2 linked regions of the Rattus norvegicus genome follow. The protein of the gene in region 2 binds, or shares a complex with, the protein of the main gene of each other region. Links are inferred from orthologs where the notes say so. Each region holds a gene or a part of one and is shown on either strand. Other genes may lie near its edges.

Region 1 (15,966 bases), on a different chromosome or scaffold from region 2:
AGCTCCTCCTGCACCATGCCTACCTGGACTCTGCCATGCTCCCACCTTGATGATAATGGACCAAACCTCTGAACCTGTAAGCCAGTCCCAATGAAATGTTGTCCTTATAAGAGTTGCCTTGGGGGGCTGGAGAGATGGCTCAGCGGTTAAGAGCACCCGACTGCTCTTTCAGAGGTCATTAGTTCAATTCCCAGCAACCACATGGTGGCTCACAACCATCTGTAAAGAGATCTGATGCCCTTTTCTGGTGTATCTGAAGACAGCTACAGTGTACTTATATATAATAAATAAATAAATCTATTAAAAAAAAGAGCACTTATTAAAAAAAAAAGAGTTGCCTTGGTCATGGTGTCTATTCACAGTAGTAAAATTAAGCGACTCCCATTATTTTAAACACTTAAATTTTTTTTGTGTGTGTGTTTTATCTGCATGTGCACTGGGTGTGTGCTTGGTACCCAAGCAGGTCAGAAGAGGATGTCCAGTTCCCTAAGATTAAAGATGTATACCACTATATCCACTATTTTTTAGGCAGTCTTGCTTTGTAGCTCTAGCTGGCCTGGAGCTCATATAGCCCAGACTAACCTTCCACTCTTTTAACAATCCTCCTTCCTCAGCTTCTCATGCTGGAATTACACATGTATATTACCAGCCTGTATCCTTTCCTTTTTATTTCAAATACACAAAACAATGTTATTAAACAGAGGTGGTTCATGACTATGATCTCAGTACTGGGGATGCAGAGGTAGTCAGTTCCAGGCTAGTTTAGGCTACATAGGAAGACCTTATTTTAAATAAACTTTTTTGGCAACAGGGTTCTTTGTGTAACCCTGAGTATCCTGGAACTTACTATGTAGATTATGCTGGTCTGAAAGTCAGAGATCCTCCTGCCTCTGCCTCCCGAGTGCTGGGATTAAAGGCTTGCACCACCACTGCCAGGCCTATATTATTTTTGTATGACCAAAATGTATGTGCACATCACATAGATGCAGATATTTATGAAGGGGATCACCTGGTACTGGAGATGTAAGACATGGATGCTGGGAACTGAACCTGTCTGAAGATTAGTAAGGGCTCTTAACCACTGAGTTGTTTCACCAGACCCCATATATTATTATTATTATTATTATTATTATTATTATTATTATTATTATTATTATTTTGGTTCTTTTTTTCGGAGCTGGGGACCGAACCCAGGGCCTTGCGCTTCCTAGGCAAGTGCTCTACCACTGAGCTAAATCCCCAACCCCGCATATATTATTTTTTGAAGCAGGGTTTTACTGTGTAATCCTTGCTGGCCTTGAATGCAGAGATCCACCTGCCCATGTTTCTCTAGTGCTGGGATTAAAAGTATGTGCCACCAAGCTTGGCCCTATGGTCACTTTAAAGTAACAGTAGGCAGAGGCGAGCAAATCTCAGAGTTCAAGGCCAGCCAGGTCTACAAAGTGGGTTCCAGAACAGCCAGGGTTACACAAAGAAATCCTGACTCAAAATAACAAACACAGATTTTAAAATATATTATTTGCCATGCCTTTCATATGGAGGTCAGAGGACGATTTACAGAGGTTGATTCTCATTATTAGGCTTGGTAATTTTCTTTACACATTTAGCCATCCTCATGTATTTTTTTAAATTAAAATAAAACTATGGCTAGGAGTAGTTTGACTTCATGTCTATGTATGTACCATGTGCATGCTGGGTACAGAAAGAAGCCAGAAGAGAACATTGGATCCCTGGAACTAGAGTCATAGTCAGTTGTGAGCCACCATGTGGTCCTGGGAGTATGAACTTAGATCTTCTACAAGAGAGAAAAATCACTCCTCTCTAGACACAAGATTTCTGATAGGTTATTCAATTACAAGTGGTCAGCCCTAAGTACATGAACATACAAACAATTCTAAATGGACTTAAGGGGAGTTACCAGGAAAAAGTATAATATATTCTATAAAATTTACAAAAAAATCTCAATTAATAAAACTATTTTGTTAATCCTGGCAGTGGTGGTACACACATTTAATTTCAGCATTTGGATCTCTGAGTTTTGAGCTCAAGGCCAACCTGATCTACATCTTCAATTCCAGCAGAACCACGGCTACCCAAAGAAAAACCCTGTCTGGAAAAACCCTAAAAATAAGCTGTGTTAAGAAGAGAGATAACAGGAGAAATGAGCTTTTAAAAATATGTAACTCTATCTTGGATTTCTTGTTGTTTTTGAGATTTTTTTTAAAAAAAGATTTATTTATTTATTTATTATATATAAGTACACTCTAGCTGTCTTCAGACACACCAGAAGAGGGCATTAGATCTCATTACAGATGGTTGTGAGCCACCATGTGGTAGCTGGGAATTGAACTCAGGACCTCTGGGAATTGAACTCAGGACCTCTGGAAGAGCGGTCAGTGCCTTTTAACCACTGAGCCATCTCTGCAGCCCAAGACTTTTTTTTTAAGGATTTTTTTCATATGTACAGCTATTCATTTTCATATGTTTATATAATACCCAACATGCATGTCTAGTACACACAGAAGTCAAAAGAGGGCATTAGCTCCCCTGAGAGTGGAGTTGCAGACTGTTTATGAACCACCATGTGAATATTGGGATCTAAACCTGGGTCCTCTGAAAGAGCAACATATTCTTTTTTTTTATGTGTGTGTGTGTGTGTGTGAGTGTGTGTATAGTGTAGCTGTCTTCAGACACACCAGAAGAGGGCATCAGATCCCATTACAGGTGGTTGTGAGCCACCATGTGGTTGCTGGGATTTGAACTCAGGACCTCTGGAAGAGCAGTCAGTGCTCTTAACCACTGAGCCATCTCTCCAGCCCCGAGCAACATATTCTTAACCACGGAGTTATTATCTCTGAAGCCCAGAATTTAATTTTTTAAATTTTCATATTGAGACACTGTCCTGGATCAGGGTACCCTTTAATTCAAAGAGATCATTCTGGGGCTGGAGAGATGGCTCAGCGGTTAAGAGCACCCGACTGCTCTTCCAGAGGTCATGAGTTCAATTCCCAGCAACCACATGGTGGCTCACAACCATCTGTAAAGAGATCTGATGCCCTCTTCTGGTGTATCTGAAGACAGCTACAGTGTACTTATATATAATAAATAAATAAATCTTTAAAAAAAAACAAAAAACAAAGAGATCATTCTGTTTCTGCTAAGTGCAGAGATTAAAGGTGTGTAGCACCATGCCTGGATTAAAAAAAAAAACCTTTTAATATTATATACTATGTATCCAAGATAGAAAAACTGTTGGGATAATCATTCACTGTGTGAAGGTGTGTATGTCCTTCCTCACCTGCCCAATGCACCTCCTGACTTGTTTAGAGGATAGGCAGGACTTCTGGGCAGAAAGGGATACTGTGGGAAAGTCAGAGGTGGAAGATTTGAGACATATGGGACTGAGGAGAGGTAATGAGCTACCTGACAGAATGTAGAAGTATGTTAAATTAAGAGCTGGGGGCTGGAGAGATGGCTCAGCAGTTAAGAGCACTGACTGCTCTCCCAGACGTCCTGAGTTCAATTCTTAGCAACCACATGGTGACTCACAACCATCTATAATGGGATCCGATGCCTTCTTCTGGTGTGTCCGAAGAGAGCGACAGTGTACTCATATAAATAAAATAATAGTAAATCTAAAAAAATTAAGAGCTAGTTGAGAGTGAGCAAGCTAAAGCCAAGCTTTCATAATAAAAGGTATCTATGTCATTATTGGGAACTGGTACCAAAGAGACAGCTTGGTTACATCTGGCAACCCAGGTCAGTGCCAGCTCCCAATAATGACAAAGACTTTTCATTAATATGAAAGCTTGGCCTTAACTTAGGCTTACCCCCAACTAGCTCTTATAACTTACATCAACCCATTTATACTATTCTACATTCTGCTACATGGCTCACAACTGATCCTCAGTACCAGTCACCTATTCTTCCTCCATGTCTAGCTGACCTCAGAGTCCCTCTCTATGCCCAGAAGTCCCTCGATTTAGCTCTTTATTAAACCAATCAGTAGGTACCTTAGGCAGATAAGGAAGGACAGAAACATTTTAACGCAGTATACAAAAAGATTATCTCCAAAGAAAATCTAAAAACTGAGCAAGAATAAACAGGCAAAGAATTAGAATAGCCATGGGTGCACTGTAGCCTTTGAATCTTATTATCATGCCACCAATCCCAGGAGCTGAACAATGTACTGGCATGATGCCTCATATCTTTTCTATCCTGGTAACCTCAGATGTTGGTGTTAGCCTCTCCTGACTAAAGTATCTGCATATATGATCATATATGCAGTTTTGCCTACATTTCCCATAGGCTTATCTACACATTTAATTACATGGTAGTTATTTTTCTAAGTGGTTATAATAAGTATTTCAGGGAGTTGGCCCAGAAATAAAACCCACAACTAAAACATAGACTTATCTATGGGTAGCATTTGATTCCTTCCCCAAGACCAAGCACAACCAAAGGGAAAAGCCACACTGATTATTGAGACCTAAAACCAAGCACCTGTGTGCCATGGCAGCCCAGCTCCCATCCCAGTAGGAAGAAACAACAAGGTAAAAATAAACATGTTTATTATTGTGTCCACGAAAGCAAAGCCAGGATGGCCTTGTTAATACCCCCTGAAAAGGTGACAACAAACAGGCATGCATGACAACTACCACTGCCACCACCAAGTTTTCCTCTAATGAAGTGAGGTCCTCCCCACCAGATCCCCATACCCTAAGAGTCAGAGGCAATAAGGCTAGGAGGCTCCAGAGGAAGGTACATACGGGCCTACTGGGCTGTGGAAAGCCAGCATTTGCTGCTTCCTTGGCAAGATGAGGTGGAGACAAGCACTGCCGTAGGCTAGGCCCTGTACCCTCTAACTAGAATACACAAAAAAGCCCCTACCCCCCACCCCCAGCAAACACTGCTAAGGCAGTCAGCCAAAACTCCTGTTAAGAGCTGCTCTGAAACCAATACCCTTAGGGATCCATCCAGAAGGGGTTGCCTTCTTCAGCTTGTATGGAATAGTAAACAAAGAGCAGAAAGGCAGCAAAGGCCAGGAAGAGTAACAGCTGGCCCCAGAGTGGGACCTGTCGATCCTGGCCCAGAGCAGCAGTAGGGGCCTGCTTTTCTGGTCGAATGGCACGTCGGGTAAGCCATGAAGAGGGAGAAGATGAAGAGGAGGACACAGAAGAGGTGGAGGATGTAGGATAATATGATAAGCCCAGGGAGCTCCTGGAGACATTGGAAATGGGGCGGTAGTGTGCGATGCTCTGGTAGGCACTGTCTCGGCCATAGATGGGGCGTTCCCTGTAGCAAAAGAAGGGGACAGGTAGGCAGGAGAGTCTGAGTGTCAAACTTGTCCCTGTCCCTACATGTGTTCACTACTCACCTATCCTTGCCTTCCTCTTCTGAAGAAGAGAAAATGTCATCACGCACCTGCCGGATAATTAGGATTAGAAATGGGAAAGAATGGTTTCCCCAAATGTCTCTGGCTAGCCTACTCTAGTCACATTGTAGGGGGCAGAAAATTGCCCCCCCATCATTCTGGGTCCATGCCCTCTTTAACTGTGGGGCCTTGCCACCCAGTTACAAACCTTGTCAACTTTGTCCCACCATCCTTTTATTCCCCAGGATTCTCAGGAGGCTTAAACCTACATCCTAGAGTACAGGTGCTGTTATATATGCTCAGATCATAAAAGTTTGTGGGCTGCAGAGATGCCTCAGTGGTTAAAAGCACCTATTGTTCTTCCTAGGTACCTAAGGTCATTTTCCAGCACTCACATCAGGCAGTTTACAACTACTTGCCATTCTAGCTCTAAGGGGAATCTAAGGGGAAATCTGACAATTCTGGCATCTGTAGGCACCAGCACTCATGCATACTACCCACAGACACATACATGTAGTGAGAATTCTTGAAATTTGGCTTAAGAAACACAGAAATATTATAAGAATGTTTTTATTTTAACCCTAGATGTGGGATATGGGGCTGTTTTACAGCAGCTATGATTTGCTTCATGCTTTTGAGTTGCAGATAGTTTCTGCAATTTTGTGGTATTTGGAATTCTGGGAATTTTTCAGAGGGTATGTAAATACTAGAGCCCCAATAGGTGAGGTTGGTTACAGTTTGCTAGTAGCTGGGGTCAAAGAAGACACAAGGAAGAAAGAAATTAGATTCAGGGATCTTTAGCTCTCTTTCTCTATCTAATGATTGGGGGTGAAAGGGTGAGGGGAACCCACAAACTAACAAAAAATTGGCTACACATAGGTATAATTAAAGTAATTAAATTTTTAAAAATGCCAAAACCCCAAAAACATTTGTGTGTGCTGCTGGATGCTGGAGATGAAACCATAGGTAAATGCTCTTCTACTGAGCTATATATGCTCATCCCCAAATCTAATAGTTTTGGAGGTTCCAACGTAGAACTTTTGAGCCAACAACTGTATGCTGATCCTAACCATACTTGAAGGCCTAAGATCCACTCTCTGCACCTAGTATCTCCTTGAACTATCCAAACCTAGAATTCCCTAAGGCTACATACACCCCAGGTATGCCTACCAGACAACTCACCTGGTGATGGAAGGTATCATCAGCATCTACAAGTGAGGTCCCTGGCCGGCGGAAGCTCTTGGACATGCCCACAGACTCGGGCTCCCCGTATGTCCTGGTAGTCAAATAGCTCTCCTCATAGTAGTCATCATTATAGTCTTGAGGAAGAAAACAGTGGTAGAGGAAAAAGTGGTGCCCCTTACCTGGCCTCTTGCCACCTTCCGCCCCCCCCCCCCAGTCTGTGTGTGTGCTGTGCCAGTTTCTTCTCTCTGAAGCCACTGAGAACTGGTACAAGGGGGTGAGGTCTGGAGTTTCACTGTGCCCAAATCCCTGAAGCATGGGATAAAGACATCAGTGCCCATCCCACACCTGCCTTACCCTTGCTCTGGTAAAGTAAGGCGTCCTCCTTTTTGGGCAGATCATACATGTCTGAGTCCACGGAGGCTGAATCCAAGTCTGCATGTGGAGGAGAAGGTACAGGACCTTCAATCTCCAGACTTCCCCCTACTCCCTCAGTAGCTTCAGCCACACCCTCCCTCCCTGCGCCTTGTGCCCCAAGCTGCTCTTTGGGGCTGTGCAGTTGGAGCCTCACCTGAGAACCGATAGGAGAATGAAGACGATGACGAGCTGGGGGGCGAAAGCCTCCTTCTCTGGGTCTCGTACTCGAAGATTTTCTTTTCGTAGAGCTTGCGAGTGGAGCCTGCCCAGACACAGGGTGCGAAGCGGTCAGCGGGTGCGAGCCGAGCACCCCAAGAGCACAAGGGAACACGGGGAGGGGACCTGAGGGAAGGAGGAGGTAGGAAGAACGCTCAGGGAGGAGCGCGGGAAAGCGGGGGACCGAGAGGTTCTGAGCGCCACCGGCTGCAGCATACCCACAATAGGCCCATGCGGGATGTTGTACTGGCGTAGCACTGCGGCCAGCTCAGTATCGGACAAAACCGCATAGTCGTCCATGGCAGACACGGCCGGCACCTGGAAGCGGTGTTGAACGCCAGGGGCGGCCGGCACCTATACACAGGGCCCAAGAAACAGACAGCTCGGAGCCTAGCAGAGGAAGCGCCAGCGCCTCAAGAGCGGCTGTGGGCGCGTCAAGCCGCCGTCACGTTTGCGTCACAGCCGCTGCTACGCAGGTTGCGCGCTCTCCTCAGGGCAGGCCCAAATCCGCCGGAGCGGCCAGTACAGACCAGTCTAGCAGGCTGGACTGGCAAATACAAACGTCACACTTGTGTGAGATTGACTCGAACAGGAAGAGGGAGGGGCTTGCGGGAGAGATTTTGGGGCAGCGGAGACTTCCTTTGAGAGCTAGGCAGCTGAGGGGCGGGGCTAGCTAGGCTATCTGAGGGTGCTAAAGCTCAACGTACTAGAGGGGCGACAAGTGTTCTCAGCGGACCAAAACTGGCTTGTGATTTCCCAAGCTGTGAAATCTTACACACCTTTGTGGCTTCATCCTGATTTCCAGTGCCTAGGATTCTCAGCCACAGTCTGGTCCACAGCAATGTGAAGAGTCCAATCCTGAGAGCAAACCTTTCCACAGCGCCTGACGCTGTTGCGAGCTCTTTGTGTGCACAAGTGCTGTCATACAGGACTCTCATCACCTACATAACCACCCACAGACCCCTGGCACTCGCTACCCATCTCCGCTGGTCTTCACAGGCTCCATGGCCCTGGCCTGCACACCTGTACAGGCCCATTCCCACCGTCCTCTCTGCCGCCTAGTTCCATCCGGGAGGAAATGGGGCTAGCACTGGGACAAGAGGCCGCCAACACTGTAGGACCAAGCAGCTTTCCAAAGGTCCAGGGCATGCCAATGGGCACAATCAGAAGGTGCCTGCTATGTGATGCATGTAGATGGGTACACCTTGTACCTGCCTAACTCACTGTTCCATCCACCTTGGGCCCTGAGGAGTTTTGAGGGGAGAAGTCTTCTTTGGCAGAGTCTCTAAGCTTGGTGTGACCTTAGAGGCCTAGACAGTGTGCAAAGCCTAGAGCAGTATCTCTCAACCTTCTTAATGCTGCCGACCCTTTAATACAGTTCCTCATATTGTGATGACCCCACCACCACCATAAAATTATTGTGTTGTACTTCATAAGTGTAATTTTGCTATTATAAATTATAAATATCTAATATGAAGGATATCTAATATGTGAGACCCAAAGGAATAGTATCCCAGAGGTTCCAAACTGCTGGCCTAAAGGTAAACCATGGGAATTGACGGAGGCTCACTAAGGATCTGGATCAGAGAAAGGTTGCCTTGAAGAGTGAGCATGACCATTATATTCTACGAAAAGTCATGTGGCTCTAGGTGTAAGCTGCCCTTTACTGGAGACATCTAGAAGAGGGGGTACATGCAGAAAAGGTGTGTGGGATGCCTGATCTCTTAAATCAGTGATTCTCAACCTTCCTAATGCTGTGACCCTTGTTGTGACCACAACGGTTACTCATGTTGTAGTGACTCCCAATCATAAAATTATTTTTGTTGCCACTTTATAATGATAATTTTTGCTATTCTTATGAGTCATAATGTAAATATTTTTGGAGATAGAGGTTTATTAGAGGGGTTACAACCCATGGGTTTTCTAAATGATAGTGATAGTGAATACTCTGGTCAGCTCTAGGCTGGCCTTGATGACACTTTAGTGAAGGTCACTGGCCAGTCCTCTATAGAAGTTTAAAGTAGGCAATGGTGAGGAGGTGGAGCCCAGTTTTGACCACATACAAAGTGCTTAATGAAGAAAAGTTGCTGTTGGATGGGTTTAAAAGACAGTGCCCTCTCTATCCCTGTAAATGGAGCTGTAAGAATCTCTGGAAAAGATACTGTGTTAAGGAAAGACAGGAGAAAGTTCTTGGGCAGGAGTGTGTGTGTGTGTCTGTGTGTGTGTGTGTGACAGAAAGACAGAGAGAGAGAGACAGACAGACAGACATAGACACACAGAGAAGCACAGAGAGACAGACATTCTCCCCATTAAGCAGCTGCTTCATGAATTTTTTTTATTTTTTATTTTTTTTAGTTTTGGCAAAATCAGATTTTCCAGCATCCCCCTCCCTCTGTGCTGGCCCCTCTCCCAGAGGCCTCTGCATACAGAATGAATGCTCAGTACTCCCCTCCCCCCATACAGAATCAAGTTGTTTCCTTATGAGGTCAAGGAATTTTAGGTTTGCCTTTTCCCTAAGGAACACCCTCTGTACCTGCCTCAGCACTCTGCTTCCTAATCCCCCTACTATCCTACTATAAGATCCTATCACAGATGTTACCAGGAAGCTGTACTGTGGTCTCGCACATACTGTCTGATGACCTAGACCTTACATCTAGCCTTATTGCAGTGTAGTTCTCTTCTCTATCATTCAGCAGAAGAATCAGGATCCCAGAGTTGAAAGAAGCTTTTGCAACAGCTTCAAGTTGAGTGATTCATGGAAATATTCTACCCAGGAAGTCATCTAGGTGGTGCAAGGCTGGCTTTATACTTCAATTAGAATTTGTCAGTGGGGCTAGAAGGATGTGCTAGGGCATTCTGTAGGTCTCTAGGAAATTCTGAGGAGTAGCCCTTGGCCAGTATGACTAATTGGGAAAAAAATCTTGGAAGCAACCCATTCTAAGAATAAGAAAATTGTTGGTTCTGTAATTCCACCCAGCACTCAGGATTTTGAGGTAGGAGAATTGAAAGTTTAAGGCCTGCATGTGCTTCAGGGTGAATTCAAGGCCACACTGGAAAACTTAGTGAGACTCTGTCTCAAAATCAAAAGTAAAATGGGAATTTGGGATGTAGTTATCTTGGTGGTAGAGCACTTGGCTGGCATGAAATAAATTTTAGATTCAACCTCCAGAAACTGCTATCTCCCCAAAGTTGTGAGAAAAGGTCTACATGAAAACGTTTCTTCAGGGTTGGGGATTTAGCTCAGTGGTAGAGTGCTTGCCTAGCAAGCACAAGGCCCTGGGTTCGGTCCCCAGCTCCGAAAAAAAAAAAAAAAAGAAAAAAAAAGAAAAAAGAAAACGTTTCTTCAGAACAAGAAGAATATGTTTTAAGAATATGCTTTTTTAAAAGCCAAGGAACTGTTAATCATAAGATTAATCTTCATAGATGATAGACTTGAAAGAAGTTGATGGCACTAACTTCTTGTGTTTTCAGTTTGTGTGCACTGAGAGGGTCAATAAAGAGAGTTCTAATGCAGTGTGTTGAGGGGGGGCATCCTGAAATACAACTATATATTCACCACCTCACTCATGCTCCTTCAATCTTCCTACCCATTGATCTGATTGCCATGTTTGAGGGTAAATGGATTTTTCCTCTGAAAGGACAGTCATTTTCATGAACTCTGGTGCAGCCACCTCATGAACCTGAAATCAGGCCACTAGAATGATAACTCACTGGCCTCCCTAGTAGAGGTTTTCCACTAGATAGAACAGTAAGAGACCTTAGTCCTATCTGGAGACCAGAATGTGAAATGTCATTGCCAGCAGAGCCAACAAAGTTAGCAAGGGATGCATGCTCCCTGGAGAAAACTCCAGCACTTTGCTCTTCAAGTTAAACCACAGATCACCAAATTGACTCTGCAAATGTGGTCAAACTCCCACACTCACTCTTTTTTCCATCTTTGTTGTTTGTTTGTTTGTTTGAGACAGGGTTTCTCCGTGTAGCCCTGGCTGTCCTGGAACTCACTCTGTAGACCAGGCTGACCTCAGATTCACAGAGATCCTCCTGCCTCTGCTTCCAGAGTGCTAGGATTAAAGGCGTGTGCCACCACTGCCCATTCTTTCCCATTCCTTCCTTCCTCCCCTTCTCTTCTTTCTTCCCTTGTAGCTTGCCATTCTTCCCCTTCCTCACTTTTTCTTCTTACTGTGTAACCTAGGTTGAGCTGTAACTTGGAATACTCTTGTCTCAGCTTCCAGAGTGCAAGGATTCCTTCTCTTTTTGATAATATAAAATAGGAAAAGAAATCAAACAGGACTGTTATTCCAGCACTTGGAAGGCAGAAATAAGGGTGATTTTCCACTTAAGGCCTAGTTTGGGTGTTACATAGTGATTTCCTAATCAGCCTGAGCGCTCTCTCTCTCTCTCTCTCTCTCTCTCTCTCTCTCTCTCTCTCTCTCACACACACACACACACACACACACACTGGAATATATTGTAGGTGGTAAGGAAAACCTCATTTGCACTATCTATTTCAGTTGTGTGTATATATGTTGGCATGATACAAATGTAATTCATATTGGGATTGTAGGGAAAAAATAAAATAATGAACTGTTGAAATGGCATTTTTTTATGTGGCCTTCCCCTAGGAAGTGATATTTGAGTTGAATCTGAAACTACCAGGAAATGGCCATGTAGAAGAGGAAGAGAGAGTTTGACAATATTAGTTAATGGCTATGCCCACCAAGCTCACAGATAGTTGGCTCTTTGTACCACATTCCACATTCCCAGGCTTTAGGACTGCACCTGATTGCTTTGAGAATTCAGTATATTTCTTCTGCTTGCTCCCAGGCACCTAACTGGGACCAAATCAATCCTAGCTGGGGCTAGGGGTAGGGGTGTCATCACATGGCTCAGGGTACCCGTTATCTCTCATCCCATGGAGCAAGATAGTACCAGTGTGGCCAACCCAGACTTGCTCAGAGACAGAAGGCTGTGACTGTGAGGAACTCCCCAGAATAGGTGGCTTTGGAACAGAGCCCCCTTTCCAGCCAAGAAACACTTGGCTCCCCTACACTCATCTAGTCCCTTAAAGGTTGGGCCTAAACATAGGGTTTGCAGACCCTGCTCTGGAGGTGAGCCTGGCAGCCTTCATAGAGTGCTGAGCTCATTCTGGGGGGCGGTGTCGCCAGTTAGCGGGGCACTGGAGCTCGTGGTGCGCTCAGAACCCCCTCCCTGCCCCCAGCTCCCGGGCGATTTTTACCAATTAAGGCTTTCTTGCCCGGCCGGGTCGGGCCGGGCCGGGCGCGGGGCGGGAGTGGGGCGGGGATGCGGCTAACAAGAAGGCGGGCAGCAGCGGCTCATTCGCGTGGAGGCGCGCGGCGCGCAGCGGACGCCAGTGGAGCTCTCAGGCTTCCGGCGCAGGCGTGGAGAGCTGGGCGCCACCCCGCGGTTGCAGGGACAGCAGGTGAGGGCTCTGTGGTCAGCTCCACGCCGAATAGTCCTCAGATAGTGGATGTGCGGCTCCTCAACTGGGTAGAATTCTGGAAAGCAGTCAGAGAGGCCAAGGCCAGGTGCAGGTTGGGTGTGGACTCAGGTCCCAGGCATCGCGTTGGTGTCCAGGGATAGCCTTGCATAGTTTGCCACAAACTTACTGTGTCTATGCCCAGGAATCTGGGAGCTCGAGCCCAAGGGAGGAGTTCTTGAAAAGGGGGCTGGTATCTGAGCGTTTGGCAGGAGATGGGTACAGGCATGGGCACCCATCAACTGGTTGGTCATTGTGTACCTTTCTGGGAAAGGTCTTTTGAGACTAGTACCCTGATTAGGATAAGGATGAGTGACAACTTGGAAAGACATTGTTCAGCCAATGTCAAGCATGGACACAAGAGAAGTGAAATAAGGGTGGATACAAGAGTTCCCTGTTGGGTTGGCCATGGGGAGCTGATTCCAGGGCTGTGAGGGGCATGGCCAGCTAGATTTTCAGTCTGGGTCCTGTCTCAGGTTGGTTCTGAATATGATGGTCATTGCCGGCCAGGACATAAGCATCAGCGTTCCTAGATCCCAAAGCCAGACTGGGGCCAGAAAAAGTGGGTGAAATCCACCCGCAGTCAATTGCAGCTCCAGACCGTCTGGCCAAGGTGAGAGCTCAGGAAATCACTGTACTTTTCTGCCACACCTGGATTTGCCTTAAGGGCACTGGTCTCACTTTGGGGATTTTCTGTTTCCTTTCCTCCTTGGCGCCCCCTGGCTACAGAGGTCTAGAAATAGCTCTTCAGGATCCCAATATAGCTGGTGGGCTTGTGCCTACAGTTCTTTGTGGGAGGGCCTGGCCTGGGGTCTGAGAGGAATGGGGTGGGGAGGTGGGCGGGGTGTGTCTAACATCCAAGAATCTACTCCAAATAAGGGAAAATATGAAAGAGTTGGATTTTGGCTTCCTGGGGCTGCCCCATCTGGGTCTTTGGGATGGAGCGACATCTGGTGGTGACACTTGTCCACACAGAATGTCCCCCCACCCAATTCCCTTTTTCTCCCTAAATAGCCAAATCATAGGGCTGGGAAACACAAGTTCTTTGTGCTCTCTCTGTGTTATGGTTCAATTTTCCTTGTTCTTTGTAAATTGATGAACTCAGGTGATCCACCCAAATGGCACTGAGTGGAAAATCATTTATTGATGCAATTCCATACATGGGGATTTGCTCTCCAATAGGTGAGGGGGACCAGAAATATTACCCTAATCGTGTCTTGAATAACATCACTGGAAGTTTCCATTTGGGTTACCCTTTCACAGTTCTGCCATCCTGTCCCCCAACTCAACCTTTGGCTCACTTATGAAAACAGAAAAGGAGAGGATATCTTCTTCTTTATGTAGGTGATGGGATGGGGTGGTGGTTCTCTACTGAAAATGTTATTTGACTGGTAATATTATAGACAATCTCAAGATGACCATGCTGAAAGGTGATGCCCATTATGATCAAAGTCCTATCATAGTGTCACCACAGGCAATGAAGACACTCCAGGCCATGGGAGAGTCAACCATATTTGGGCATGACATGTTAGCCAACCCAAGGCCTTCTTCAGCCACTGGTCTTTTTTTACTTATTAATTTTATGTGCATAGTTTTGCCTGCATTCATGTCTGTGTGAGGGTGTCAGATCCCCTGGACCTGAACTTATAGACAGTTGTAAGGGTGCTGGGAATTGAACCCAGGTTTTCTAGAAGAGCAGCCAGTGCTCTAACCACGGAGCCATCTCTCCAGCTCCAGCCACTGGGCTTAGAATTGAGAAATAGGGATAAAGACCTGCCTTTCTGGAAAAACAGTTTTAACATTCTGGGGAGGCTTGAAACACAGAGAAAGTAGATGGAAGGAGTCTACCAAGGGAAAGACATATAGGTAAAATGAATCCTCTTAACTTAAGAGGGTGGTTGGGAGTATCCCCACAGTTTTCTTGTCTCTGTATCTTTGCTCCTCATCACTATCTCCAGAAAATATCTGTCATAAAATTAACTTTTAGCAAGTAGCTTCACACTACTCAGGGAACACACCCAGGCTCTTTAGCAAGCCTTGATGTCTGGTGATTCTCCTTCCTTCAGTAATCTTGGACCTATCCCTGAGCTTGGGGCTGTTCTGCCAGAGAAGACTTCTCCCCTCAAAACTCCTCAGGGCCCAAGGTGGATGGAACAGTGAGTTAGGCAGGTACAAGGTGTACCCATCTACATGCATCACACAGCAGGCACCTTCTGATTGTGCCCATTGGCATGCCCTGGACCTTTGGAAAGCTGCTTGGTCCTACAGTGTTGGCGGCCTCTTGTCCCAGTGCTAGCCCCATTTCCTCCAGGATGGAACTAGGCGGCAGAGAGGACGGTGGGAATGGGCCTGTACAGGTGTGCAGGCCAGGGCCATGGAGCCTGTGAAGACCAGCGGAGATGGGTAGCGAGTGCCAGGGGTCTGTGGGTAGTTATGTAGGTGATGAGAGTCCTGTATGACAGCACTTGTGCACACAAAGAGCTCGCAACAGCGTCAGGCGCTGTGGAAAGGTTTGCTCTCAGGATTGGACTCTTCGCATTGCTGTGGACCAGACTGTGGCTGAGAATCCTAAGCTTAGTTTAGGAAGAACAGAGAATGAAGATAGAGCAGGGTACAGGGTTGGGGCGGAGCCCAAGTGATACGGGAACGTTATTAGCTCCGCCCTCTGCAGGGACCCTGGGGTAAGAAAGTCCCTTGTAAGGGTGTGCCGACTGGAGCTGAGCAATTCTGTGACGGCTGGAGCTGAGCAACTCTGTGATAGAATTGCTCAAGTTTTCCTAGATCTGGGGTCCGCTTCCTGTAGTACTGTAACGGATGTTGCTAGACTTTTTTGTGCTCTTTGGGGATCAAAAACCCTTCTGAAGCAGGGGAGCTGAGTTGCTTTGGCGGGGTCGCGGCGGCAGCGGTGGGGGATGGGGGGATTGTGGGAGCATTCCAACGGGAGGGGCGAGGTAGGGCGGGCGCGGTCCACAAGCCCCACCCAGAGGCCCCGCCCCAAGGAAACCTTGCCTCTAGCCCCGCCCTTCGCCCCCATTTAAAGGGCTCGCTCTTTCCGCAGTGCAACCTCTGTTCTGTGCCTCGTCTTTCCTGCGCGGAGGTGCCTACTACTTTAATTAAAGGGCCGTCCCATCGGCGAGGCTGCAGCACCGCCCCTAGGTTCCTCGCGCCTCAAAATGAGTAGCTCTCACTCCCGCTCCGGCCAGAGTGCGGCAGGCGCGTCTCCGGCAGGCGGTATTGATACACGGGACGCTGAGATGCCGGCTACCGAAAAAGACCTAGC
Region 2 (15,986 bases):
AGAGTCACTGAGAGCAAAGTGAGGGTCCGAGTGGGTGAAGCACACAGAAGAAAGCAGTGTGAGAAGCAGAACTGGAGATTTATTGCAGCAGAGGTGGCCTGTGACCCTGAGGTGCCTCCACCATGCTTGTCCCCGTGGGGTGCTGCACACAGTCACGTTCTTTCAGGGGACCTCAGGAAGCCCAAAATTGCAGCACGGCTTCGGGGGAGAGGGAGGCACAGTGGACAAGGAGGGTGAGCTTGGCACCAGCCTCCTTCTCCCAGCAGTCAGCCCTGTGTGATCCCAAGTCCTTCCAGGAAACTTCCACCACAAGGGGAAGCTCCAGCCTCTCCTTCCTATACCCCATGCTGACCTACGGGCTGAGTCAGGAGAGGTCTAGCAAGGCCTCTACCTGACTATACGAGTTAAAATGACAAAGCCAGGGGGGCTCAGGCTTTGTGTGGGATGCGGCTATTATCTCTTATTATATTCCTATGGCTGGGGGCTGGTGGTGAGGTCCACGTGGTATCCAGAGATTCTGGTTTGCTTGTACTGTTATGCTCTCGTATCCAGGGTTAGGACATGGTGCTGGCCACCACCTGGCAACAAGGCAGGTTAGTCAGGGGCACTTGAGGTCCAGGCTGGTCCATGGCTGTCCCTTTAGTTTTTCCCATTGCCAGTTAAGAATAGTGTTCTGACCTAGGGACTCAGACATGGAGTAAGAGGGGACTCTTGCAGGGAGCTCCAGAGGGAACAGAGGGTTGGCCCTTGAGGGAAGCTGAAGTACCCATGCTTGCCTTCCTGAAGCAGGGGCAGACAAGTAGCGAGGGGCACTCACTATGCCTTCTGGCTTCCTACCTTCCTAGCAAGGAAAAATGAGTGATTTGGGACTGGGGTCAATCTTTCTTTAAAATTTAGGCAATTTTCGACCATGCATTTTTACATTCATATGACTTTTAAAAGATATTTATGTATAAAATTATTTTTTCCTTTGGAGACAGGGTTTGTCTATGTAACCCTGGCTGTCCTACAACTATGTAGAGAAGGCTGGTCTTAAACTCTCAGAGCTCCACCTGCCTCCTGAGTGCCGAGATTAAAGGTGTGCATCCCCATGCCTGACTCGAACTTTATTCCTGTTTTGGTTTTTTTGTTTTTGTTTTTGTTTTTGTTTTTTTTTTGTTGTTGTTGTTGTCCTTTTTTTTTTTCCTTTTTCTTTTTTTCGGAGCTGGGGACCGAACCCAGGGCCTTGCACTTGCTAGGCAAGCGCTCTACCACTGAGCTAAATCCCCAACCCCATTCCTGTTTTGCTTGCCCCTGCATCTGGCACCTCTGCAGGGCCATTACTGATGGCCTGACTGCACCCTGATTTGCGCTGTAGAGGTGTGAGTACAGAAGGAGGTGTAAGTGTTGTGGCCACCTACTGAGGGTACCTGGTACTCATCCCAGGGTGGGCCATACACTTTACCTAGACCCAGCCTTGAGTGAGCTCTCATCCATACTCACGTCAGAGAGTTTCTGACTCATTGCCTGATTGTTAGAGGCTCAAACCATGGTTTGTCTAGTTTTGTTGTTTTGGAGGACTGTCTTACTCCCAGAGCCCAGGCTGGTCTCCAGCTCCTCCTGCTTCTGCCTTCCAAATGCTGGGATTACAGGCACGCACTGCCACACGTAACACTCCTTGGGACGTTATCTTTTGGTTTTGCTTTTATCTTTTTTTTTTTTCTTTTTTCTTTTTTTCGGAGCTGGGGACCGAACTCAGGGCCTTGCGCTTCCTAGGCAAGCGCTCTACCACTGAGCTAAATCCCCAACCCTGCATTTATCTTTTTTTTTTTTTTTTTTTTTGGTTCTTTTTTTCGGAGCTGGGGACCGAACCCAGGGCCTTGCGCTTCCTAGGTAAGCGCTCTAACCGCTGAGCTAAATCCCCAGCCCCCCCTGCATTTATCTTATAGTTCTGAAATATCACCAGTACACAGAACAGGGGACATAACACTCGTGTTCATTTTCATTGAGAGGATACACGTGGAACGCAGGATATAACACGTGCTAGATAACCATCATTCTATTATTTAGTTACTTCTGAAACCCTGCTCAACTCAGTCAAGAATTTTACCTCTGAGACCAGAAAATGAAAATGTCACCTTCACTTACAAGCTCTTTCATCATCATCCTTCCTTCACCAAAGATTTGATATAGTGATTCATCTTTACTATTGACTTTTCTTTTTTAACCCTTTGGTGTCTGCTTTGGTGTCCACTATGTATACAAAGCAAGCACTAGACCAATGTTGCATCCCCAAACCTGTCGCACCCCCAAACCTGTCACTAATTTTTTGCAGTACGTGGTTCCTTGGTTTTCTTTCTAATTTAACTGTCTCTATAGGGATCCCTAAGCAAGAATTTACTTCTGAACACGAATGGAAGAAGTGTAGGACTGCAATCCCAGCACTCAGGAGCTTAAGGCAGAATCACCGTGAGCCTGAGGCCATCTGGGCTACAACGGTTAATACCAGGCTAGCCAGGCACACACAGCAAGACACAAACATAAAAATCCTGAGAGTAAAAAACTGTTTTGAGGGGTTGGGGATTTGGCTCAGTGGTAGAGCACTTGCCTAGCAAGCATAAGGCCCTGGGTTCGGTCCCCAGCTCCAAAAACAAAACAAAACAAAACAAAACAAAACAAAACAAACAAACAAACAAACAAAAAGGTTTTGAGATGAGTTTCTCTGTGTAGCTCTGGCTGTGCTGAAACTCATTCTGTAGACCAGGCTAGCTTGGACCTCAGAGATCTACCTGCCTCTGCCTCCTGAGTACTGGGATTAAAGGCATGCACCACCATGTGATTCTGTGTCCATAGTCCGGTGCTGAGATTCCTCTGAACTACTGCTCTGGCTCACTTTCCCTGCTGTGCAGTTGCAAGAATTTAGGCTCACACTAGGAAACACCCGCCTGTACTGCAGGGTCTCACAGACAGCTGTAAACATTTCCTAAGGTCCTAGTGCAAGTATTCAGTCTCTTACAGGCTCAGTCCTAAGAATGGAATTGATGGCTCATGGGGTGTGTCCGTTTTGCAAAATAATACTCAGCTGTTTTCCCAGAGTGCTCATAGCAATTTACTCCCACCAACTTGGGATCAGTTCCTGTTGTTCCATTTGCTTAACACTTGATGTTATCTGATGTGAGACCTTTGACCTTTGCCAGTCTGGTAGGCATGGGGGCACTTGTTTTTCTGATTTCTAATTGAAGTGAACCCATTCTATCCATGTGATACTTTAAAATCCTCCCTTGGGGCTGCCTCTTAGCTCCTCTACCAAGTTCCCTAAGATGCTGTCCGCTTTGCTTTTTTCAGTACTAGGGATTGAACCTGTGGGCTCACGAACGCTAGGCGTCCTACCACACAGCTATATGCCCAGCTGTGTCCCTGCGTGTGTATGTGCCTGTGTGCGGTGAGGGGTGCTCCTTTGCCTAATCATGTGGAGGCGAGAGTAGGATGCGAGGCATCCTTTATCATTCTCCACACCACTTGCTGCTTCAGCCACGGCCGGTCGGCCAGGAACTGCTTGGGTTCTCTCTGCCCTGCAACAGGGGTGATGGTACTGAAAGAACCTGCAACCAAGCCTGCTTTAGGTGGGTGCTATGGATTTGAATTGGGTCCTCTTGCTTTCATAGCAAGTGTGTAGTCCCTGAGCCATCTCCACAGACCATTCTCTTTAGGAGATAAAATCGCATGCACCCTGGCCTGGCCTCAACTTGCTTTGTAGCTAGGGATGACCTTGAACTTCAGATCCTCACTCATGTCTAATTAGTGAAGCATGTGCCACCACAAGCCCTGTACCAACTTAGTCAAGTCCCAGACACTTCCTTACCTGCAGCTCTGATAAGAATTCTGGGTGGGGATTTTATTGATAAGGATATCCTCACCCACGCTGTGTTCATCTCTTTACTCAAGTTTTCAATTAAAGTTTCTAGTTCTAATAGACAGACCATCTTTTATTTTCTCGAGGCAGGGTTTCTTTCTCTGTGTAGCCTTAGCTGCCCTGGAACTCACTATGTAGACCAGGCTGGTCTCAAACTCACAGAGAGATCCACCTGCCTCTACCTCCAAGTGCTGAGATTAAAGGCATGCACCATCACCACTAGGCAGAACAGAGACCATCTTATTAACCTTCCCTTTATTACGTGACCACGGAAATTGTCTCTCCTATGCCCAGTCTCGTAGTGTCATCACTGCCTTCCTGGAGAGCAGACATGCAGAGAAGCATCTCATCTGTACCACAAGCAAGTCATTGCTCAATGACTTTCTTTTTTTCTTTCTTTTTTTTTTTTTTAAGCTTTATTTGTTTTATCTAAGTACATGGTTGTTATCTTAAGACACACCGGAAGAGGGCATCGGATCCCATTACAGGTGGTTGTGAGCCACCATGTGGTTGCTAGGAATTAAACTCAGGACCTCTGGAAGAGCAGACAGCGGGTTTTTTTTGTTTGTTTTTTTTTTTGTTTTTTTTTCTTTTCTTTTTTTTGGAGCTGGGGACCGAACCCAGGGCCTTGAGCTTGCTAGGCAAGCGCTCTACCACTGAGCTAAATCCCCAACCCCGCAGACAGTGCTCTTAACCACTGAGCCATTTCTCCAGCCCACTCAATGACTTTCTGTTGGAGGAACAAACACCAAGCAGGACTCCTTGTTACAGCAGTACCCAGTCCTCTCAACCCTCATCTATCTGAAGCTCAGAAAGCATAGCATGGGTTACATGACATAGGAACACAGGCTCTCCAACACTGAGCTCCACTGGCTGTTTTCTTGCAAGTTCAAAGGCAAATTAACTTTTCTGAACCCCAAATCTCTTCACCATTCCAAAATAAAAAATTTAAGAAACATAAAGATACTAGTTTCAGGGGTGGTTCACAGTATAAGCCTGAAAACATTAGAACTGGAACTCATTTTTCAAGTTTAACCATTTCCTTCCATTTCTACAATAGCCGGGCAAACAGCAAAAGCCCTACCCATTCTTCCCAGAGGCTAAAAGAGCACATGGTGTGATGACTGGCAGGTGAACTCTTCCCCACATCCTATTCACCCACTTCCTGGTTCCTTTGACTCCCACTGACTTTTCCACCAGGTGCCGCCTAGACTGTTGACTTGACATCTGGAAGCCTATAGCCTACATGGCTCCCAGGAAGAAAAAAAAAGTCAACCCACACTCTCTCCCACATTATTTAGGAATTGGGACACCCAGGGTGCCTGCCCAAGGCCCACATGGCTAGGGTGGCTCCCTCGTGGGAGGGGAAATGGAAGGACCCAGTTTCGGTGTGCACCGTGTTCAGCAATGGAACACAACCCAGCCCGTCTGCTCTCTGACACAGACCAACAAGTATGAAGGCCACTAGCTTTATTAATTTAAAAATCTTTTATAAAGACAGTGACTGTTTTTGCCAAAAAAAAGGAGTCAAAGGGCATCCAACAGATGGTGAGGGAGAAGGAGGCAGTAATCCATTCAGGAAGGCTGGGAACTGCTGCCATGGAACTGTAGGGGGAGGGGAAGGGGAAGGCATGCGAGGGCAAGAAACCCAGAAAGGTTGAAATGCTGGGGGGAGAGAACTCCCAAAAGACCCTGGAGTACATAGGAGATGAGGGTGACAACAGCAATCTTTTCCTTCGTGGAGGACAGGGAGGCACCCTGCCCTGCTGCAGACTCTGGAGATTCTATGCTGTGGCTAGGGGGGCTGAGGGGTCCCCAGAGAACATTACAAGAAGGCATCACACCATTCTCGAAGGCACCCAAAGCAGTCCCGGGACTGCTTGGCATTGGCACCACATGTGTCTTTTAGCCATTCTCGAAAGAGGTCTTCATCTTTCTTTAGTACCAGAAACTGGCCAAGGACCACATACGCCTGCAAAACAGAAAAGGGTATATAGTTAGCTGAGTGTCTTATGGGCTAAAAGCAACAAGCCTACACTGATACCACTCTGAGGGTTAACTGGTAAATATTTGAGAAGGCAAGGCCATTTTTGTTTTGGCTGTTTTAAGACAGGGTTTATTCCTTTGTTGCCAGGGCTAACATTAAATTCCACGGGAATCCTCTTACCTCAACTTCCTAACTGCAGGGGTCATAAGCACAACCTGCTGTGCCTAGTTTCATTTTTGTGACATTTAAAACACACAAAAGGGCAGGGCACAATGGGACACACCTTTAATCCTAGCACTGAGAAGCCCTGTCTCAAAAAAAAAAACAAGGGGTTGGGGATTTAGCTCAGTGGTAGAGCGCTTGCCTAGCAAGCGCAAGGCCCTGGGTTCGGTCCCCAGCTCTGAAAAAAAAAAATTTAAAAAAAAATTTAAAGCAAAAAAACAAAACAAAACATGAAAATGAAGGAAGTGCCTGTCTCCCCAGGTACACCCAAAACACTTCAAACTATGTATTTCTGTCCTCACCCTCCCCATACCCCTACTCTCCTTCACTCCCAATTTGCTTGGTAACATCTGTTGCCAACCTTCACTCCTACTCCCTGGCATTTGCAGCCACCCCACACCTTGTCAAAGCCCCTTTCCTCCAGCCTCTTGCCCAGGGCATCACCAATCCCGGCCAGGCTCCCCACTGGCTTTTCCCCCATGGGCTCTGCCACGAAGTCTCGGTGCTTTTGAGAGGTTGTCATCTTGATCAGGATTAACCTGGGAATCACAAAAAAAAAAAAAAAAAAAAAAAGCTGGTTAGGGCTGAAGACCGCAACTCCAAAGGGCAGCTACTGTGGCTGCTTCCTTAAGTCCCCTCATTAAACTGGGGACCAGGGAAGGTTTCCCTCCCTCCCCCACTATTCAGAAATTCCCACTTTTGTGGGTCCTGGGTTTGGGTACTGACCCGATCGATATACTAGCTTGCACTAACAGGTGGTGCACGTAAGGCAATCTATAGATTCCCAGACTCAGTAGCCAAGGCCCACCCTGAAGCTCTCTCGGTGACCTTGGCTGGACAGACACTGACCCCGTTAGGAACTACCACGTGGTAAGAATAGCAAGAGGCTCTCGCTACACTCGCCGCCCTCCAGAGGCGGACAAGCGCGGCACACTCGCTCGAGGGGCCCGCCTCCTCTACGCCTCTCTGGTCCCGCAGGCCCCGCCCCAAGCGCGCCGCCCCGCCTCCTCCACGCGCCACCGCCCCTACATGCCGCGCACCGCCCCTCCCACAGACTCTGGCTGCTCCACTGCAAAGGCGCGCTTCTGCGATGGACTCCTCTCCCTCCCGGCTCTGCGCGCCGCCACTAACCCTCCAGCCGGAGCCCCACTTCGCTTTCTCACGCTCACCAGCAGCTCCGGCTCTGGTAACGGCTCCTCGCGCCACTCAGCTACTCCCGCCGATACCTCAAGCAGCTAGAACGTTCTTCGACTTCCGCTTCCGGGTCGTTTTGTGCGCGGCCTTCAAAATAATCCCCAAATTGGGCACGTCTAGCCCCCTTGAGTCATAGAGTTGAAGCGCAATCGCTAGCCGCCACGCCCACGGTAGTCGCTGTTTTCCGGTCCCTTTCAGGAAGCCACGCTGCTTTCGATGGATTTTGTTTCTCCGGCGGCCCTTCCCGTCTGTGGGATTGACGCTTCCGAGGAGAATACTTTTTCCTGTCTAGCACCTGGAACTTGGGTTTGTCTGACTTGATGGAGGGAAGAGTTAAAGGAACGGACAAAGAGGGGGCGGGGCATCCGGAGGGCCTCTGAGAACCCCGGAAGTGCAATTCACGGCGCGGTTTCCTCAGAGTCAGGTTTATCACCTCAAACCTGCAGACGGAAGGTAGGAACACCGGAGGTTTGAGACCGAGCGTCCAAACCGGCGCTACCGTCGTCACCACCTGCAAGTCGCATTTCTTTGCTTTTTGTTGACTCACTCTTGAGGTGAGTCGTGGACGAGCTGCTTTCACCGTCAACCTGGAAAACGGAGCTTGCTTGTGTAGCGCCGAGCGGGTGAGTGCTGTGGGTGGTTCTTTGCTCGAAGGGTCTTTCTGCTTGAAGCGTCGTGATGGTCGCCGAGTCAGTCTATGCCTGTGATGTGTTAGGAGGTCCAGCGTTGTATGGCTCTCCTAGACTTGAGAGATGTTCACGCATGTGGAGGAACGTAGTTTGTCTTAAACTTCTCCCAGAAAGGTTGTCAGAGCGATCGGCCTGGGAGGTGCGTGTGGTTTCATCATCACAACAGTACTTAGAAGTAGAACTCATAGGACTTCCCCTGTGCTGGGTGTTTTTCCATGATCTCATTTTATTTACTTATTTCTTGTTTGTTATTGAGAGGACATCTCACTACGTAGACCAGGCCGGCCCCGGGCTCCACAAAGATTCATCTGCTTCAGCCTCCATGGATTGGGATTAGAATGTTGAGATTTAATGGTCGAGCCACCCTTACATCTCAACCGATACGATAAAACATGTGTTTCATGGTTTGGTTTGGCTTGGTTGGTTTTCAAGATTTGTTTTTAAGATGGGTGGTGTTGCAAGTGCTCTTGGAAGACAGAAGTGGGCGTTGGATTCCCTAGAATTGGAGTTAAAGGTGGTTGTGGACCATCGACGTGGGTGTTGGCTCGTAAAACATCTCTCTAGTCCTTAAAGATCATGCCTGTTTGTTTTTGGTTTAAGGTCTCCCTATGTAGACTAGGTTGGCCTAGGACCCAACAAATACCTGGCTACCTCTCCCTCCCAAGTGCTAGGAATAAAGATGTACACCAACACCTGACTAAGTTTGTGGTTTAATGATTTTATTCATTTTTTAATTTATTTTATGTATGCGAATACACTAACCTGTCCTTCAGACACACCAGAAGAGGACATCAGAGCTCATTTCAGATGGTTGTGAGCCACCATATGGTTGCTGGGAATTGAACTCAGGTCCTCTGGAAGAGCAGTCAGTGTTCTTAACCACTGAGCCATCTCTCCAGCCCGATTTTATTCGTTTTTTTATGTATACCAGTGTTTTTACCTGCATGTGTGTCTCCAAAAGAGGGTGTTGACTCCTCTGTGACTGGAATAGGGGAAGTGAATTCTGAGTGCTGGGAACCTGGTTCTGCCAGAGCAGCAAGTCCTGCAGTCCCCTCAAGTGCACGTTTTTAACAGGGCAAGGTGGCACTTTTTCGTATAAGGCTGCTTCTCTTGAAAGCAGTCCTGGCTTCTAAGACTGGCATCCAAATAATTCTGGAAGAAGAGCTGACAGTCCGTGCACCCTAACAACCCTGGACAATAACCAGCATGTCTCAGGCCAGCAAGAGGAAGCATGTGGTGCAGGAAGTGCTGGGGGAGCACATGGTGCCTTCTGACCAACAGCAGATAGTGAAAGTGAGTGATCCTGGTCTCCAGGTTTCTGTCCTCCCGATAGATACTCCCATTGGACCCCTGGGGTGTGGAAAGGGAGGGCTCAATGTAGTTGAAGAATGCTTGATTTAACTGATGATGTGGCTGGTTCATGCTCTTTCCTGGACCAGGTCCTCAGGACTCCTGGGAACAATCTGCATGAAGTAGAGACAGCACAAGGGCAGCGCTTCCTGGTGAGCATGCCCTCCAAATACCGCAAGAACATCTGGATCAAGAGAGGTTAGAAACATCCCTCTACAGTCAGAACCATGGCCTTGATTTCCCCTCCACAGCAGGAGTGGCTTTATCCTTTATCACCTACAGGGGACTTCCTCATTGTTGACCCTATTGAAGAAGGAGAAAAAGTGAAGGCTGAGATCTCTTTTGTGCTCTGCAAGAACCATGTCCGCTCTCTACAGAAGGAGGGTCACTGGTAGGATGGTCTTAATTACTTGTCCTCTGGCTTCTGGGGATAGTATCATCTTAGCTAGGGAATTGGGGAGAGAAGGTTATGCCATTCCAAGAGGGACGTTTTGAAACAGCTGTTTCATTGAAAGTTTTCTCTTTGCTCTCTAACCTGGCTCTTCTCTTGTCACAGGCCTGAGGCCTTTTCTGAGGTAGCTGAGAAACAAAACAATGTGAACAGGTAAGGAGCGAGCCCCCAGAACAAGAAGTACAAGTTCACACCTTGGCGCCTCAAGGAGAAACAGGATCTTGCTCTTTTCTCCTGTTGAGAACTATAGCACACATAATAGGATAGGTAGTTATGAGTGTGGCTAAAAGGTCACTTTTTTTCTTTTTTTCGGAGCTGGGGACCAAACCCAGGGCCTTGCGCTTGCTAGGCAAGCGCTCTACCACTGAGCTAAATCCCCAACCCAAGAGGTCACATGTTAAAATGCTAGCTTTGCTACTTAATAGACAGGTGAGTTTAGATGCTTTTTTTTTTTTTTAAGTATCTTAAGGAGGTTTCTAACTGGATGTGGCTGGACATCCCTGCAATTCTAGTACTCAACAAGGTAGTACTAGATCAGGAGTTTGAGGCCAGAATGGTCTACTCATAACAGGTTCAAAGCCAGCCTGAGGTATAGGAAACTTTTTCTCAGAAACAAACGAGTTCATATAAGAGACGGGATTACACAGAGAGTAAGATTGCTTAGTGCAGCAGTCCTCACCTGTGGGTTGAGACGCCTTTGAGGGTCGCATGTCAGATATTTAAATTATTATTCATAACAGCAAAATTACAGTTATAAAGGAGTAATAATAATTTTATGGTTGGGTTCACTACAGCATGAAGAACTGTGAAAGTGTCGCAGCATTGGGAAGCTGTTAGTACATCAGCTGTTAGGAAATGTGAGCTATGTGTCAGTAATGCTAGTGGGGTCGCTTCCTCACTCAAATTGATGAGGGGCTGGGTGGGAGGTAATCCCGAGTCTATTCTTTTTGACTGGGTTTCCCTATTTGCTCTGTTTTTCTAGAAGAATCCTCTCCCAGAATTTTTTGCTTTGTCTCCTTTATTCTTTTAAATCTTTTTTTTTTCTTTTCTTTTTTTCGGAGGTGGAGACCGAACCCAGGGCCTTGCGCTTGCTAGGCAAGCACTCTACCACTGAGCTAAATCCCCAACCCCTGTCTCCTTTATTCTTGAGTCAGGATCTCATGTAGCCCAGGCTGTCCTCAGACTTAGTCTTCTGCTTTCGCTTCCTAAATGCCAGGCATGTGCCACTGCATAAGGGTTTGGGGCTCTTGGATTTTCAGAAACCTGTTAGATTCTGATTGTTTAGTTGATGGTCCTGGTTTTTGGGACTTGAGATTATAGCTCTGGTTTCCCCAGAAGATGTTACTGTTCTGTCCTGCTCCCACAGAGAGAGTCAGCCGGAACTCCCCGCTGAGCCACAGCTGTCAGGAGAAGGGTCAGGTTCTGAAGATGATTCTGACCTCTTTGTCAACACCAATCACAGACAGTATCATGAGAGTGAGGAGGAGAGTGAAGAAGAAGAGGAGGAGGCGGCCTGAGCCCCAGGACCCACTTCTCTACTTGCTCAGGGACTACCCCTTGGCTTTTCTGGGTTTGGACATTCCCAGGGTGCCCTGCAGATCTTTTCCTTTGGATGGGGACAAAGCATGGCCCCTTTCTGAACTGACATAAAAAGAATTAAACCCCTGGTGGGTAGTGACTTACACTGGTGTCCGTGTGGCTCTCTGTAGAGGGAAGCTCATGGTGAAATGAAGTCTCTTCTATGGTGGAAGCCTTGGTCACGTGTGGGTAGAATGGGCAGGAAATGATTTGTCTGAACTCTGCTGCATTTATCTGGTTCACAGTACCTCTCTGGACACTTGATACCTCACCCTGTGCTGTGCCTTACTGGGTCTTCCTTTATACCTGCTTATATTCAGCAGCTATTCCAATAGTTAAGCGTGCAGTCTAGGACCTCGGACCCACTTGCCTCTTAAGCACAGCTCAGGACAAACTCCTGGTGCCTTGTTATCCCTTACTGCAATAGTGCTTACTGCCTGCCGCTATGCAAACAAGCCTGCATCCCATCTCTCTTCACCTTCGTCACCTGTCATTCCCAGAACGTGTCTGTGGTCAGGATACCTCCTTACCATCTCCTGATTTTCTTTGACTTTCTCTAATTTCTTCAGGGTATTAATTTCCTGTAATCTTTTTTTTTTTGAAGCTGGGGACCGAACCCAGGGCCTTGTGCTTGCAAGGCAAGCGCTCTACCACTGAGCTAAATCCCCAACCCCAATTTCCTGTAATCTTGAGGTTGTCTCTAACCCAGGTTTGCTTCAAAATCACTGTGTAGCCTAGGCTAACCAACTCAGTGGCTGTCCTGCCTCACAGGCATGAACCTGTGGGGCTACTAACCTTTTGTTAGAGGCTATTGTAATGTCTTTACCCCTTGTACCTCAGCATCAAAAGACTTCTTGTGGTGACTCAGACCTTTGCTCATGACTACCTCTGTCCATTTACTTACTCCCATTGTTTTAGTTCAAATATCCTTCAGTAGCCCAGGTACTCACTAAACTGTGCAAGCTTCTGTGAACTGTGGCCTCACTTATTGGGAGGCTTCTGCTTCTGGCTATACCCTGCTAGCATTAATCCTGCCCCTGCTAAATCCTATTGAAACTGACCTCTCAGCTTAGTCTTGCCCCTACTGGTCATTCATCCCTCAGTGGAACTATTCAACCCTGTTGCGTACTCCTAATGTGCTTGTGTGTATGTATTTTCGTTGAAAACTTGTACTAATGGAACTTCTACTTTGGAGCCTTCCTTTTGTCTTCTGACGAATTTTGTTTTTTTGGAGGGGGGCTGTTGTGGGTAGTTGGTTGAGCTTGGAGGCATGCATTAGCTTCATAGAATCTCATTTCTGAGCAGGAAATCCTGCAATCACACCCTCTCTGACTCTCATTTATGTTCGTCATGTTTGCCTTTTGTGGTAGTAAATGTATACTTGGGTATACACATGTATAAAATATAGGTGTATATACATGGAGAAATAAACCATATGGGTTAAAGAGAAACCTATCTTTAACTTCTCTGAATTTTTTTTTTATGAAGAGTTCTTTTTTGTTTTTGTTTAGTACTGAGTATTGAACCTCAGGCCTTGGGCACATGGTGTGTTAGACTGGTGTTCTTACCGAGCTAAATCCACATTAGGAGCTCTGTCATTAGGAGAAATAACTTCCTAACTAGAGAAAGCCATTTGCCCCTAACTCATTCATTAAAGGGCTCATTCTTTTCTCATTGATACTACCTTTTAAATTTTTCAGATCAGACAGACATGTTTAGTGCACACCTTTAATCTCAACCCCAGTACTTGGGAGGCAAAGGCAGGCAGATCTCTTGAGTTCTCGGTTAACCAGAGCTATAGAGTCATTCTGTTAGCAGGCATTATGGCACATGCCTTTAAGAGAAGTGTGGAGGCAGAGGCACAATTATCTCCTAAGGAATTTGAGGCTAGCCTGCTCTACATAGTTTTATGTCCTCACCTCCACCCCCCAAAAATAATCCTAACCAGGTGTGGCACCTGTCTGTAATCCTACCTGGGAAGGTGAAGGCAGAGGATGAAGACATTGCCACATCTGAACTACAAGAGATGTCTAAAAACAGATTCCTACACAAGTGTCTTTTCAGTATTCTAAATCTGCCCAATGGGTCTTTGTATTTAGACTTCATATTGTAGTGCACTTGATACATCATAGTTCCCTGACTCCATCACCCTGAGACTATCTCAGATTTCCTCACTACTTAGAATCAACTTGATTGATTTCATTTAAAAGCCTTGGTTGACCAGTGAAATGGCTTGGTAGGTGCACACTTGCTGCCAAACCTGAGGAACTTGTTCAAACGCCAGGATCCAAATGGTGGAAGAAGAGAACCAACCCCTGAAAGTTGTTTTCTGACGTCCACAACAGTTCCTAGACACTTCCTCCTACACACCCATCTCCCCAGTTCTGAGATAATAACCCTGCACCACTGTCTTAGGGTTTTATTGTAGTGAAGAGACACCATGGCCAAGGCAACTCTTAGAAAGGAGAACTTCATTGGAGCTGGCTGTTTCAATTCAGTCCATTATCATCATGGCAGGAAGCATCGCATGCAGGCAGGCATGGTGCTAGAAAGGAGCAGAGTTCTATATCTTTTTTTTCCTTTTTTTTTATAAGATTTATTTGTTATATATAAGTACACTGTAGCTGTTTTTTCAGAGACACCAGAAGAGGGCATCGGATCCCATTAGAGATGGTTGTGAGCCACCATGTGGTTGCTGGGAATCGAACTCAGGACCTCTGGAAGAGCAGTCAGTGCTCTTAACCACTGAGCCATCTCTCCAGCCCCTCCCCCCCCAGAGTTCTATATCTTTTTTTTTTTTTTTTTTTTGGTTTTTTTTTTTCGGAGCTGGGGACCGAACCCAGGGCCTTGCGCTTCCTAGGTAAGCGCTCTACCACTGAGCTAAATCCCCAGCCCCCAGAGTTCTATATCTTGATCCAAAGGCAGCAAAAGGAAATTGTGCCACACTGGGCATAGCTTGATCACAGGAGACTGCCTCCACAGTGACACACTTTCTCCAATAAGTCCACACCTCCTAATAGTGCCACTTCCTGTAGCCAAGCATTCAAACACATGAGTCTTATGAGGCCCGTTCCTATTCAAACCACAACCACGTTACCCTGTTTGTGAGTGCTGGGAATCTTAACTCAAGACTGTACATGCTAGGTAGGCAAGCACTCTGCCAACTAGTATAGGGTTTTTTTTTTTAATCTTTTGTTATTTTGGGTTTTTTGAGACAAGGTCTCTACACAGCCCTGGCTTTCCTGAAATTCTCTATGTAGACCAGGTTAGCCTAGAACTCACCCTATCCTGCCTCTTGAGTATTGGGATCAAGGTTGTTATTTGGTGTTTTTACTATTTTTTTAATTAGGTGTGTTTGTGTGTGTCTGTGCATGTGAGTGCTGTCAGTCTAGAAGACGATGTCAGCTCCCCTGGTGATGTGGTTACAACAATGGTGAGCTGTGTGGAGTGGGCGCTGGGGACAGAGAGACAGAACTCAAGTCTTCTGCAAGGGTGGCAGCACTCCTCACTACCAAGCCATCTCTACAACCCCTCTACTTTTTCATTTTTAGGTTTATTATTTTAAATCAGAGGGAGAGGGAGGTGGGGAGGGAGAGAGAGGGAGGGAGAGAGAGAGAGGGAGATAACAGTGCCCAAGGAGACCAGAGCAGAACCTGATGTACAGGCGGGGGATCAAACTCAAGTCCTCACAAGAGCAGTGTGTTCTGAGCCCCTTTATCTCCTTTTTTGACATGTTACCTTTTTGATCCAAAATACTTATGTTTGTACTTTTTCCAGAAAATTTTTCTCAATTATCTCTTCAGATGTTTTGTATTTCTCTCTAGAATTCCCATTATCTGGATAGCATTATCTTCTGGGCTTAATGTCTCTCAAATTTTCAAATTTTCTTTTGCATTTTCTGTTTTCATCAGCCCTTCCTCAGAACATTTTCTGGTCTGATTCTTTTTTTTTTTTTTTTTTTTTTTTGGTTCTTTTTTTTTTCCGGAGCTGGGGACCGAACCCAGGGCCTTGTGCTTCCTAGGTAAGCGCTCTACCACTGAGCTAAATCCCCAGCCCCTCTGGTCTGATTCTAAGTCACTATTCTCTTCGTAAACTGTAGCCCCACTGTGGTAGATCCTGTGTGTGTGTGTGTGTGCGTGTGCGTGTGTGCGAGTGCGCGTGCACACACACATGTAGAAGTCATGAATTCCAGACATCAAATTCAGGTTGTCAGGCTTGTGGGTCATGCACTTTACCCACTGAGACTTCTTGCCAGCCCTGTTGTGGTTTTGTTTTTTGTTTTGTTTTGTTTTGATACAAGGACTTGCTGTATAGCCCTGCCTGGCTTTTAACTTTGCCTCCTGTGTCAGTATTTGGGGATCTATACTTGACCAATCTGAGAAACAGAAGACCAGGAGGCACATACCTGTATTTCCAGAGTTGAGAAGGCTAAGGTGGTATGATGTGAGTTGCAGGCCAGCCAGGGCTACATAAGTGAGACTATCTCAAGAAAAGGAACAAAAGGAAAGGAAAGTGTTGTCTTAGCTAGGGTTTCCAGTGCTGTGAAGAGACACCATGACCAAAGCAACTCTTATAAAGGACAATATTTAATTAGGGCTGGCTTACACTTTCAGAGGTTCAGTC

Evidence for each region.
Region 1: the proteins of Banf1 (region 2) and Emd are in contact, whole or in part, in a crystal structure (PDB 7NDY), measured with the Homo sapiens proteins. The link is inferred for Rattus norvegicus from reciprocal best matches to the Homo sapiens genes BANF1 and EMD. Residues at the interface, in NP_001137457.1 of Homo sapiens: Arg37, Phe39, Gln48, Val51, Leu52, Lys53, Asp55, Leu58, Glu61, Trp62, Asp65; in NP_000108.1 of Homo sapiens: Pro22, His23, Gly24, Pro25, Val27, Ser29, Thr30, Arg32, Leu33, Tyr34, Lys36, Lys37, Glu40.

What each region holds. Positions count from the first base shown.
Region 1 is NC_086039.1:157,182,068-157,198,033, reverse strand, and holds Emd (emerin), read right to left. Parts: upstream 7,597-15,966; 5' UTR 7,490-7,596; coding exon 7,408-7,489; intron 7,316-7,407; exon of another isoform or gene 7,236-7,315; coding exon 7,128-7,235; intron 6,992-7,127; coding exon 6,914-6,991; intron 6,694-6,913; coding exon 6,557-6,693; intron 5,425-6,556; coding exon 5,378-5,424; intron 5,296-5,377; coding exon 4,965-5,295; 3' UTR 4,585-4,964; downstream 1-4,584. Other genes in the region: Flna (filamin-A), read left to right, coding at 15,860-15,966. UniProt on the Homo sapiens protein: Stabilizes and promotes the formation of a nuclear actin cortical network. Stimulates actin polymerization in vitro by binding and stabilizing the pointed end of growing filaments. Inhibits beta-catenin activity by preventing its accumulation in the nucleus.
Region 2 is NC_086019.1:212,096,202-212,112,187, forward strand, and holds Banf1 (barrier-to-autointegration factor), read right to left. Parts: upstream 7,352-15,986; 5' UTR 7,271-7,351; exon of another isoform or gene 7,233-7,270; intron 7,099-7,232; exon of another isoform or gene 6,828-7,098; intron 6,641-6,827; 5' UTR 6,625-6,640; coding exon 6,502-6,624; intron 5,865-6,501; coding exon 5,718-5,864; 3' UTR 5,322-5,717; downstream 1-5,321. Other genes in the region: probable RNA-binding protein EIF1AD, read left to right, coding at 9,191-9,277, 9,424-9,532, 9,617-9,725, 9,891-9,938, 11,152-11,302. UniProt on the Homo sapiens protein: Non-specific DNA-binding protein that plays key roles in mitotic nuclear reassembly, chromatin organization, DNA damage response, gene expression and intrinsic immunity against foreign DNA.